Arabidopsis thaliana: one gene and its partners. The protein of the gene in region 1 interacts with the protein of each later gene in a pairwise test. Each region holds a gene or a part of one and is shown on either strand. Other genes may lie near its edges.

Region 1 (3,755 bases):
CTCATCCCCTTTTTTTGTCTGACATCGTATATGTATATTGGTTACATCTAAATTTGTCACACTTGTGTAGCAGTGATAGTTGTCTCAGTGTGTCTATAGACTATAGTTAAATGTTAATTAGTAGTATTTATACAATACTAATTACATCATCTAAATATTTGCATATGATTCACACAAGGCAAATTTCCTTGGCTAATTGTCACACTATTTATGTGAAGGTGAGTAGTTAAAGCTAATAACCTCGAAGTTGCTTGGTTTATATGAGATCAAGTTTGGCTCTTGTAAGTGAAGATAATAATTTAAAGAGTATTTTAATCGTGATAATCTAAATGTTAGTTGATAGTTAATACGTCACGGAACATGTACCGACCGACGGCCGATTTCCATGATACAATAAAAAAATGAAAATTAGCAATCTCATAACATGCGACGACGATACTTATGGTGTTGCCACGTAGCAAGCATCTTCCTCTTAACCATGAGGTGTCGCAACCTCAGAGGACAACACGGACAAGACCGAGAAACCGCATACTAACGCTTGCAACGTAAAGCACAACACCCCTAAACTCCTATTTTTTTAATTTTCTTTTAACCTCAACACACCACGCAGCTATACACGTTTCAATGTGCTAATACGTGTCTTCTTCTCCGCCGACCAAGACACACTACAAATGTCCCGATGGTTTGGGGAGACAAATCACAGTTTCTACTACAACAACAAATACTTTTACGAAAAAAGCTTTTAAAACTTATCTAGTTTCGTTTGATACACATTTGAAGAAAGAAATGGCATCCAACCAACAGAGCTACAAAGCTGGTGAGACCAGAGGCAAGGCCCAGGTAATAAGAATATATTTTTGTGTATGTGTATACGTAAAACCACATTATATAAGCTCTAAGATGATTTGTCTGTGTAATACCAGGAGAAGACTGGACAAGCTATGGGAACGATGAGGGACAAGGCTGAGGAGGGCCGGGACAAGACTTCTCAAACGGCCCAAACAGCCCAACAGAAGGCCCATGAGACAGCCCAGTCAGCTAAAGATAAGACATCTCAAACTGCCCAAGCGGCTCAGCAGAAGGCCCATGAAACGGCCCAGTCAGCAAAAGAGAAGACATCTCAAACTGCCCAAACGGCACAGCAAAAGGCCCATGAGACGACGCAAGCAGCAAAAGAAAAGACATCTCAAGCTGGCGACAAAGCTCGCGAGGCCAAGGACAAGGCCGGGAGCTACTTATCGGAGACAGGCGAAGCCATAAAGAACAAGGCTCAAGACGCTGCTCAGTATACAAAGGAGACGGCTCAAGGTGCGGCACAGTACACAAAGGAGACGGCTGAAGCCGGTAGAGACAAGACGGGTGGATTCTTGAGCCAGACTGGTGAGCATGTTAAGCAAATGGCAATGGGTGCAGCTGATGCAGTGAAGCATACTTTTGGGATGGCTACTGAGGAAGAAGACAAAGAGCATTATCCAGGAAGTACTACTACCACTACTGCAACTACTCGAACCACTGATCCGACTCATCAGACTTATCAGAGGAAGTGATGAGAAAACAAAATTGAGAACGATATGAAAGTATCTTTGTGTTAGTTGGTCTTTTGAGTTTTGTGTTTGTGTTTTTGTAATTTCCGTTGTGTCTTTCTTTATGGTTGTGGTTCAGCTGTGTTTCTTGTTGTGACGGTGATCCTGGAGACTTCTAATTTCCAGCCAATAAGTTTAGATTTGATCCTGTTACAACTTATGTGTTCTCAAATTTCTATTTTTGTTACAATAAACAGTTATTAATACACATCATGGTCCACTTCGTATGTTGGTCATCAAGCATTAGCATTATACAGATATAGCTGCTAATCCAAACGGGTTTTACTAATCTTTCAATTTCTTTTATCAAAAATTTCAATAAAACATTTGTGTCTGCTTTTACGTTTTACGAATCGTTCAATTTCATAGATCTACTAAAATGAGAGAAGTAAACCAAAAAAATTGAATAGTAATTTATCTAAACCGAGCAAACCAAATAAATTTATCAAGACGTCAACGGACGTATACTTTGGTGACCATCCGAAACGACATCGTATAACATCTTAGGGTTATGAGTAATGACACGACGTCGTTCTCTGGGTCGGTCACTGGAGATGAAGAGAAGCGGTCGCGACATTGTAAAGATCTCTAGCTCCGTCCTTCTTCCTCGTAGCTACCCTCTCTAATCTTTTTTTCTCATTCCTGTTCTTGATAGTTTTCTAGACAGATTTCGATTAAACAAAACCGCGGAACACTTTGAAGAAATCTGCGTGATTTAGAGATGGCGGCTTCTTTATCGAGCAGACTTATAAAAGGAATCGCTAATCTCAAAGCTGTTCGTTCTAGCAGATTGGTTAGATTCTCTCATAACCCTTTTACTCAATTTTGATGTATCTAATGTTTGCTCAATAAAGTTTTCTCTTTTCCCATCTTGAATCACTTAAAAATTGCTCCTTTATATAACATTTGAGGTTCTGATTCTTTTGTTAGTTGAACCGGATTAGATAGTTACGTGAGCGTATGGTTTTGAATTATGTGAAAATGAATTTGTTTCCAATAGAAGATGGTATTGATGATCATTTGATAGTTGAATTTAACATGGAGAAGAATGATGTGGTTTTTGTTTGCAGACGTCTGCATCAGTCTACCAAAATGGGATGATGAGATTTTCCTCAACAGTGCCAAGTGATTCAGATACACATGATGATTTCAAGCCTACACAAAAAGTCCCTCCCGATTCTACGGACTCACTTAAAGATATCGTTGAGAATGTACACTCCAGCTTCTCTAGATTTGAAGTTGAATGTTTCTTTGTTAGGTGTTTGCTAATGCTGTTTTAGCTTTGGTGGTTGTGTAGGATGTGAAGGATAATCCTGTTATGATCTACATGAAAGGTGTCCCTGAATCTCCTCAGTGTGGGTTTAGCTCACTAGCCGTCAGAGTTTTGCAGCAATATAGTAAGTTTTGTTGAAATGTTGATTGAAACTGAAGAAGCCTTCTGTGAATTTTCTTTACTATTGGCGTTAGGCTCTGTGTTCTGATCTACTATCTTGTGATATCCTTCTTTAGATGTTCCTATCAGTTCTAGAAACATTCTAGAAGACCAAGAGTTGAAAAACGCTGTGAAATCCTTCAGGTGAGTATGTGGACACTTAATGAAAGTTTCATACAGAGAGTTGTATAATCTCATTCTCAAAGTTTTTTCATAAAGTTTGGCTTTGTTATTGAAGTTCGTTACCGTTCATTCCTTAATCTTTGACCTATATGATCTAGACCTCCCTTTGATTTTCAAGTCTTTATTTCTTTGCAGCCACTGGCCTACGTTTCCACAGATCTTCATTAAGGGAGAGTTCATTGGCGGCTCAGACATCATCCTTAACATGCACAAGGTTAGTTCCACTTAAAGCAGACCCTGTTTGACTTTTTTTTCCCCCGTTTCCATTGTGTTTGTTTAATCACAAGTCTCTTTTACTATTCTAGGAAGGTGAATTGGAGCAGAAGCTTAAAGACGTCTCCGGAAACCAAGATTGATCCAAAGTTTGGAAGTTATGCTGACGAGTGGAAGTTATTATGTTTTTGTTCTTTCTTTTCATAAGAATGTCTTTTCATGTACGGTAAAATAATGTCTCAGAAACTCAAAAATCTTTGGATTTCGTATGAATAAAAACTTTGGTAAACTAAGATAGCAAAATCAAAGAAGCCCAACGAGCCTTATTTATTTATTTTATTATT
Region 2 (3,755 bases), on another chromosome or scaffold:
TGACCATCTTCATGATGATGTTGACGAACTCAACTTCAGAGTGCAACAATCAAACCAACGTGGTCGCCGTTTGCTTGGAAAGTAGATGAACAGAGGGTTTATATGTTCATTACACTCATTCCTCGTTTGTTTTATTCTCTATGAAGTTGTTCTTTAAAACTGGAAAGATTCTTATCATGTTAAATACATTATTGCTATCTGTGTTTGTATTTGATCTTGTGACAAAAAACCAAAAAACTTATTGATCAAACAGAAGCAACTTTGGTATCGTTTTTATCTGTATCATAAAGCTTTCTCAAGAAATTCTGATAATAGATGAAATTATGAGTTTTAATCTCAGATTTATAACCTAAAAATATCAGTGCTAGAATACGACATAAGAATACAGAAACTCCAGACAAGTTGGAACATATGTTATGCAACAACTGCACAATCATGTGAGATTATTCAAAAGAACAAAAAAACCAGGAACTCTTCATTCCCTTTAGTCTTCCTCAGCTACAATCCAAGGGATATATTCCACAATGTCCTCTTCTTCACTTGTATAATGTCTGAAGCCATAAAACACAAAGACTACTAATGAGAACTAGACAAAGCAATCTGACATAGTTGGAAAGAACTATGAATAGAGGAAATAATAATCTCATACAAACACCACTTGTTCCCGAATCATATTCTCAAGCCACAAACTCGACAATCAATGAATATAAAGTGGCTCCAACATGACCATTAAAAACAAATAGCTTTGGAGGATATTGTAATGACAAACATACATCTACTGAAGCTTGACTTCCATGATGTTCTTGGTCTTGGGAGGATATGCCAAGTAAACCTTGAGCACTCTCTCAGCAACAAAAAGCTGTTTTTTAGCTTCAGCATAAGCCTCAGTCACCTTCGATGGGTCAGTGAGATTCTTGTTCATGCGGAAGCCATCCAAGGTCCTTCGCTTACTGTACTCCCTAATGTTGTAATCAGGGAATTGACGTCCCGCTCGAAGCAAGGCACGACATAGGCTAAGAACTTCACTACTAGACACCATTGCAAGATTGGAAACTAACCCTTAATTATACAAAGCCTGGTTAACTGCAATCAGTATAAGAACACAAAGAAGCTGAGATTAGCAATGCCGAAAAGGAAGAGAAGTAGTCAAGATGATCAAGGGATAAAGCTATACACTTCGACATGTAACAAGAAGTTATATAGATAAGTGAAAAGTATTAAGGACCAGTACATCATTTATAGAGCAAAAGAACCTAGATTCAGTAACATTAGTATATAGATAAGTATTGATTTGAGTAGTGTATATAAGGTATGAGAACCAGTTGCTGCAACATTAGAAACTAGGCACTAGAGTTCATGAAAATACGCAAAAGAACCAATATTAACTAATCGCAAACGCTTAAAACAATCAAGAAGAAACCTTAAAAGGCCATAAACGCACTTAGTAATCCTAAACTTCAGTAAAATGGATGAAATTGCAGTCACAGCCAAAAGAGACAATACATCTGAATCATGAGAGGATCCGATAAGCATAGAATTTGACGATAACGAGCTCCAGATACATATACATACCGAATCAAATCGTCGGAGAGTATTAATTTCCCGAGCTCGCCGTTGAAGTTCTCCGTTCGAAGGTTTTGATAGCAGCAAGCTGGGTCGTTCGGGGGAATAAATAAACTTTTAGGTTTACCCAAAACTAAACCGGGAAAACTGATTTGGGAACCGGATCAATTTTAGATTGAGTAAGAAAAGAACCGGTTTTAGAATGGGCTAGACACAAAGGCCTGTTAAATTGGGCCAATATGTGATAAGCCAGCCTTTTTTAATGAAGGTGTATGAGCTGGCATATTCGACAAGAAATAGTAAACAAAACCGATATTTATCATTCTCTGTCACGCCTTCTTCCTTCTCTACACGAATTCGATTCTCTCTTATCTCGACGAGAAAACCCTACTGCGAAAAAACTCCGATCTCTCTGGCGAGAAGTAAATTTTTATCTCTGAGCTTGGTTTCACCATTTCTCTATCTCTATCTCCTCGCTGGGTTACGGTACGAGCCTCTCAAACTTTTCGATTCCTTGTGTTCATAAGTATGTGTGAAAATCCTTGCGTGTCGAGATTGATTTTTCTCTTTTTCGTTTCGGATTCATCGTTGGATTCTTATTTCGTCAATGTTTTTCTGTGATTTGTTCTGATTCATGTGTAATTTGTAGCTGACTTGATTGGTGATCGATGATTAAAATTTGTACTCGTTAGTTCCCCCTTGATTCGATTGATTTTGTCTCTGTGAGGGTATTTTTTCTGATTCTATTGTATTGTTTGTAGATTTGCCAATATTAGAGACTACAAGTGTCGTAATTGGATTCTGAATGAACTTTTGAAACTCTACACGAGCTGGATTGTTGTGTTATTTATATTACAGAGAAATTTATAGCATTTTTGTTGTGTTCATCTGGTTTTCACTAATTTGGTTTTCTTCTCCATCTTTTGTTGATAGGTTTGGTAAGGTCAGTGTTCTCTAAGGCTGAAATTTGGGGGTTTCTCAGTCTCGATGTGGTCGTGCTCCGTTAGGATTCTTCACAATCATTAGGGTTATATTTCTTACAAACTGATGCTCATTTTCTCTTCCCTGTCTATGGCTTTATCTGTGATCCTTCAAAAGCTTAGTGTCTTCGGCCCTGGTTTGAATCCTTCTTTCCCTTACTGCATCGCCAATCACTCCTTTGCCTCCCGTTAATTGAGTTGCTCTCTTTCAACTTAATTACATTAGTCTGCTTCCTTTGCTGTCTAGTCTGGATAGTGTTGCAAATCAAGTAGTATCTTCTTTAGACATTCTTGGCTGAGAGATTTACACTAAAAGCATAGAATAAGAAACCCCTGTTTGGTTAGTATCTACCCGAGTCTCGTAGTCCTACACAGATCCGGATCCTAGTTTCGAAGCTAGTTCTTGTTTAGCTGAAGCTCAGACCCAAAATGCTCCAAGAACCGTCGGCTGCATTCTCCCTCCGGCGTAACTCATTCAGACGCCGATCTCCCAGATCAAATGTCGATGACAGAGGCTGGAATCCGCTCCATATCAAAGCCAGAAAAGGCGATCTGAAATCTGTCAAGCAGCTTCTCGACCAAGGAATGGATGTGAATGCTCTAGCATGGGGACCCAAATCAAAAGGAGTGAGTGCACTTCACCTTGCAGCAGAGGGAGGTCACATTGAAGTCATGGATTTACTCCTAGAACGTGGGGCCAACATTGATGCTAAAACATGGGGCTCATGCGGGTGGACTCCTCTCCACGCTGCAGCCAAAGAGCGGAAGAGAGAAGCAGTGAAGTTTCTGGTGGAGAACGGCGCATTCTTGGCAGATGATATAACTGATACCAGGTTTAATCCGCCGGTGCATTACTGTCACGGCCTTGAATGGGCGTACGAGGAAATGAAGAAGCTTAACAGCGAGTCTTCTTCTTCATCTGGTGGAGACACATCTTCCAGTTCTGACAACTGAACTTCTTCTTGGTTGTTTCTCGGTGTGTTTTGTTTTGTTTTCTAGTTGAGACTACTTATCAGAACTATTATGGTTGGTGTTTGATCTTATGGGCTATGTGAAACATTGAAACTGCGGATACATTCATGTAATCTTCAGTGTGTTATTTTGCAACTCCAGTTTGATATCCTAGCCGAATTTGATTTGTTTAACCGGTTCTGGATCAACCAAAAATATGAGATAATCGGTTTTGGTCTCTTATGAATCATTAAGTCTAAA
Region 3 (3,755 bases), 5.1 Mb from region 1:
CAGTTATCCATTCCTTTCTTTTTACATAAATTTTGTCACTTTTTCTACAAACGATTCTTCGCTTCTGTGAAATTTGATAAAGCGAAAGTTTTTTTCTTATGGATTCTCTTCGATTCAACCTCCAACAATCTCCATTTCAATTGAAACCTAGAATTCTCCGACCAAGAATCACCAACATATCAAACCGAATCGATGAAACCGATCCTCGACCATCATCCTCGGCCGGTAGGATCCAAAGGTTAGTACTTAACAACGAAGGTCGGACCAAACTAAACGCCGATCCTGACCGTGAATTCTATTCATATCCACGGTTCGTGAACCACGTAGATGATAGTTTCATATCCTCCTTAACCGAACTATACAGAAACCGGTTGAGACCCGGTTCGACTGTACTTGACTTGATGAGCTCATGGGTCAGCCATCTTCCAGAAGAAGTGAAGTACGAGAAAGTAGTAGGGCATGGTCTTAACGCACAGGAGCTTGCTCGTAACCCTAGACTCGATTACTTCTTCGTCAAGGATCTTAATGAAGATCAGAAGTTCGAGTTCGAAGACAAGTATTTCGACGCTGTTTTGTGTTCTGTTGGTGTACAGTATCTACAACAACCCGAAAAGGTACGTTACCGTAAACCAAAACCGATTTCGGTTATGTCAAGAAGATTCCTAAACCGGGTCTTTATTATATAAACCGCAGGTGTTTGCAGAAGTGTATAGAGTGTTGAAACCGGGAGGAGTGTTGATAGTGAGTTTTAGCAACCGGATGTTTTATGAGAAAGCAATTAGGGTTTGGCGTGATGGAACCGAATACAGTCGGATCCAATTGGTGGTTCAGTACTTTCAGTCTATTGAAGGGTTTACTCAGCCGGAGATCATCCGGCAACAGCCTGGAGCTCAGATATCGGTTTTGACTCGGCTTATGGGTTTTATCGGTTTAGCTTCTACGCCCGATCCTTTTAATGCTGTCATTGCTTATAAAAATTTCAAACCTATTTATGAGTAACACGCACATAAAAAAAAGTGTATAAGAATTGGATGGGAAGTTTTTGAAGAAAAGGAAAAAACCTCTCAACCAAGTCCAGCTGGAGAAACTTACAATACAAATTTTTAAAAAGTGGAGAATGAAATTACAGATTTCAATCAAATTGGAAGAACCTGTATTACACAAGAAATAATTGACAGAAAGATTACACACTTTGGAAAATATAATTAATATATAGTTTTCAATTAGCATGCATTGTATGTGATTCGTTTTGTTCGAAGATTCATGGACAATATCCAAGCAAGGTAGCCTTGTCCCTCTTCAAACGAGTATCACGAGTTGCTTACTTTATGGTTTAGATTCTATAATAACAGTATATATATTAGAAGGAAGTCTTTTATATTAAAACAAAAATCCATTGTATATGTACACTATCTATGTTCCATGCATGTGTCTTCTTAAATAGCTATGAAGTCCCTTATTTTACTATGTACATACTAAATTTAGTTATGTTTATCAGGATAACTCGTTGTACCATCAGTATATAAACTTTGAAATATTAAATGTTTCTCACTACTAGTATTAGACTGTTGCAGTTGCGTTAGAGACGTTTCATATTTAGAAATAATATTATCCAAGACCTGAAATTCTTATTATTATGAAAATTATGAAATATCGATAAGGGAAAAACTGTATGGAAGTGTAAAAGACACCAAAACAGATATTGAACCAAAGGTGAAGCAAAGAAGTTGATTCAAAGTTGCCACTTTATTTAACCTTTTGCACCAGTATATATACACACACATGGATACTAACCCAATCATTCATCACAACACATCAGATCCTTCACCATATATTTCTCTCAACCTCGCCAATATGGCCCAACGCTTTCAATTGAACTCACAAACCCTCCCAACGGCCGACCCTCTCAAAAGGGTCTCCCTTATTCCAAGATCCGCCGAGCAGAGGCTGGCTGATAACGCAGGCGAGAGGCGTCCTTTAGCACCGAGATCTCACGAAGACAACCCCTTTGGGGGTCATACTGATGATCACCATGTTGCTGCTCCTGCGGACCATAATAAGGTGATGGATCATAATAGCGAGAATCTCGGTTCCATTGTCCCTAAGACTGCACATTACCCTCATCCATCTGAGGAAATCCTTGATGCTAATATCCGACATTCGATGGTTCCGAAATCATTGGGTCCCAATTCGCTCGGTGGAAGATTTGGTCCGGGAAAGAAACAAGCTTTCCATAGAAATGGCAGACCCATGTTTTCACTTTCTGATGACCGAGTCATGGCTGATAGAGTCTTGAAGACTCACAGTCCAGACATGATCTTCTTTGATGTCACATCACTTCTCTCCGTTGTTAATGACATCTTCAAGTCTCATGTCCCATCCATTGACTCCTCTGCTCCTAAGGTTTAGTTTACTTGTGCAACAATTAATCCCCATTTCAAATACTGATTTTTACAAGCGTATTAAATTTAAAACTTTTTGCAGCCATCACTCGTCTTCAAGGACTACGCTGATCATACCTCCTTTGAAACTTTTGCGGATCTCATTGATCAAATCTCTTGCGAGGTATATATGAAGCTTTCTTGTTTTAAGTAACGTTTGAGTCAGTATCTAAGTATCAATGTCTCTGACACAGATCGACTGCAAGTGTCTCCATGGCGGTGAGTCTCACGGTATGATGACATCAGGGCTTCATTTGGATAGTCGCAACACGACGACGTTCTCTGTTCTGTCTTTGGTCTCCAAATACCGTTGGGATGCTAAGCTAGTCCTTGTCCTATCTGCTTTGGCCGTGAAATACGGCGTTTTTCTCCTCCTCGCGGAGACACACGCAACAAATCAGCTCACAAAATCTCTGGCTCTCATCAAACAGCTCCCTAGCATCTTCTCCCGGCAGAACGCTCTACACCAGCGTCTCGACAAGACCCGAATTCTGATGCAAGACATGGTTGATCTCACCACTACCATCATCGATATCTATCAACTCCCGCCAAACCACATCACAGCCGCGTTTACCGACCATATCCCCACTGCGGTTTACTGGATTGTTCGCTGTGTTTTGATATGTGTTTCTCACATCAGTGGCGCCAGTGGTTTCAAGCAGGAGTAAGTTGTTTTTCTTTCTGATTTCTAGGGTTTCAAGTAGGAGTAAGTTGAGTATGTGCTTCTCATCTATGTTTTCAGTCAAATCATGTCGTTTATGGAAGTTTCGGAGATACATGAGAATAGCGAAAGGCTTAGGAAGATCAATGCTTACTTGTTAGAACAATTCAAGAAGAGTAAAATGACCATCGGTAACTACGACGTCGTTTTAAGCTCTCTCTCTGTTTCTATATATTTAAGAGTATTTTTATTCCTCTGTTCTCAAGCTCTGTTTTTTTTACTCTGTTACAGAGGAAGGTATAATCGAAGAAGAGTATCAAGAACTCATCCAGACGTTCACTACTATCATTCACGTCGACGTTGTTCCTCCTCTACTTCGTCTTCTCAGACCCATTGATTTTCTTTACCACGGAGCTGGTGTTTCAAAGAGACGCGTAAAACCTCCTTATATCTCTGCATCTGTATATGTCTCTTGTCAGTGACTGATCTGTTTTCAAACATTAACCAGGTCGGGATCAACGTGCTCACCCAAAAGCACGTTCTGCTTCTGATATCAGACCTAGAAAACATCGAAAAAGAGCTCTACATCCTGGAATCGCTCTACACAGAAGCATGGCAGCAGTCATTCGAGATTCTTTGGGTTCCAGTTCAAG

The links.
Region 2: the proteins of GRX4 (region 1) and ANK6 interact in a two-hybrid assay, tested with the Arabidopsis thaliana proteins (one large-scale study listed by BioGRID).
Region 3: the proteins of GRX4 (region 1) and SEOa interact in a two-hybrid assay, tested with the Arabidopsis thaliana proteins (one large-scale study listed by BioGRID).

What each region holds. Positions count from the first base shown.
Region 1 is NC_003074.8:5,307,933-5,311,687, reverse strand, and holds the start of GRX4 (glutaredoxin 4), read left to right. Parts: upstream 1-2,063; 5' UTR 2,064-2,304; coding exon 2,305-2,376; intron 2,377-2,653; coding exon 2,654-2,794; intron 2,795-2,880; coding exon 2,881-2,980; intron 2,981-3,092; coding exon 3,093-3,159; intron 3,160-3,333; coding exon 3,334-3,412; intron 3,413-3,503; coding exon 3,504-3,554; 3' UTR 3,555-3,755. Other genes in the region: AT3G15670 (Late embryogenesis abundant protein (LEA) family protein), read left to right, coding at 787-840, 924-1,547.
Region 2 is NC_003076.8:24,625,282-24,629,036, forward strand, and holds ANK6 (Ankyrin repeat family protein), read left to right. Parts: upstream 1-1,905; 5' UTR 1,906-2,049; intron 2,050-2,496; 5' UTR 2,497-2,972; coding exon 2,973-3,497; 3' UTR 3,498-3,687; downstream 3,688-3,755. Other genes in the region: SNAP33 (soluble N-ethylmaleimide-sensitive factor adaptor protein 33), read left to right, coding at 1-85; AT5G61220 (LYR family of Fe/S cluster biogenesis protein), read right to left, coding at 776-1,039. UniProt on the Arabidopsis thaliana protein: Promotes anthocyanin accumulation through interaction with PHYA, especially in response to far-red light, high light and sucrose treatment, probably by triggering A3G2XYLT/UF3GT expression.
Region 3 is NC_003074.8:245,434-249,188, forward strand, and holds the start of SEOa (sieve element occlusion protein), read left to right. Parts: upstream 1-1,758; 5' UTR 1,759-1,782; coding exon 1,783-2,403; intron 2,404-2,484; coding exon 2,485-2,565; intron 2,566-2,635; coding exon 2,636-3,105; intron 3,106-3,183; coding exon 3,184-3,293; intron 3,294-3,393; coding exon 3,394-3,536; intron 3,537-3,610; coding exon 3,611-3,755. Other genes in the region: AT3G01660 (S-adenosyl-L-methionine-dependent methyltransferases superfamily protein), read left to right, coding at 99-614, 694-999. UniProt on the Arabidopsis thaliana protein: Scaffold protein required to form the phloem filament matrix in sieve elements.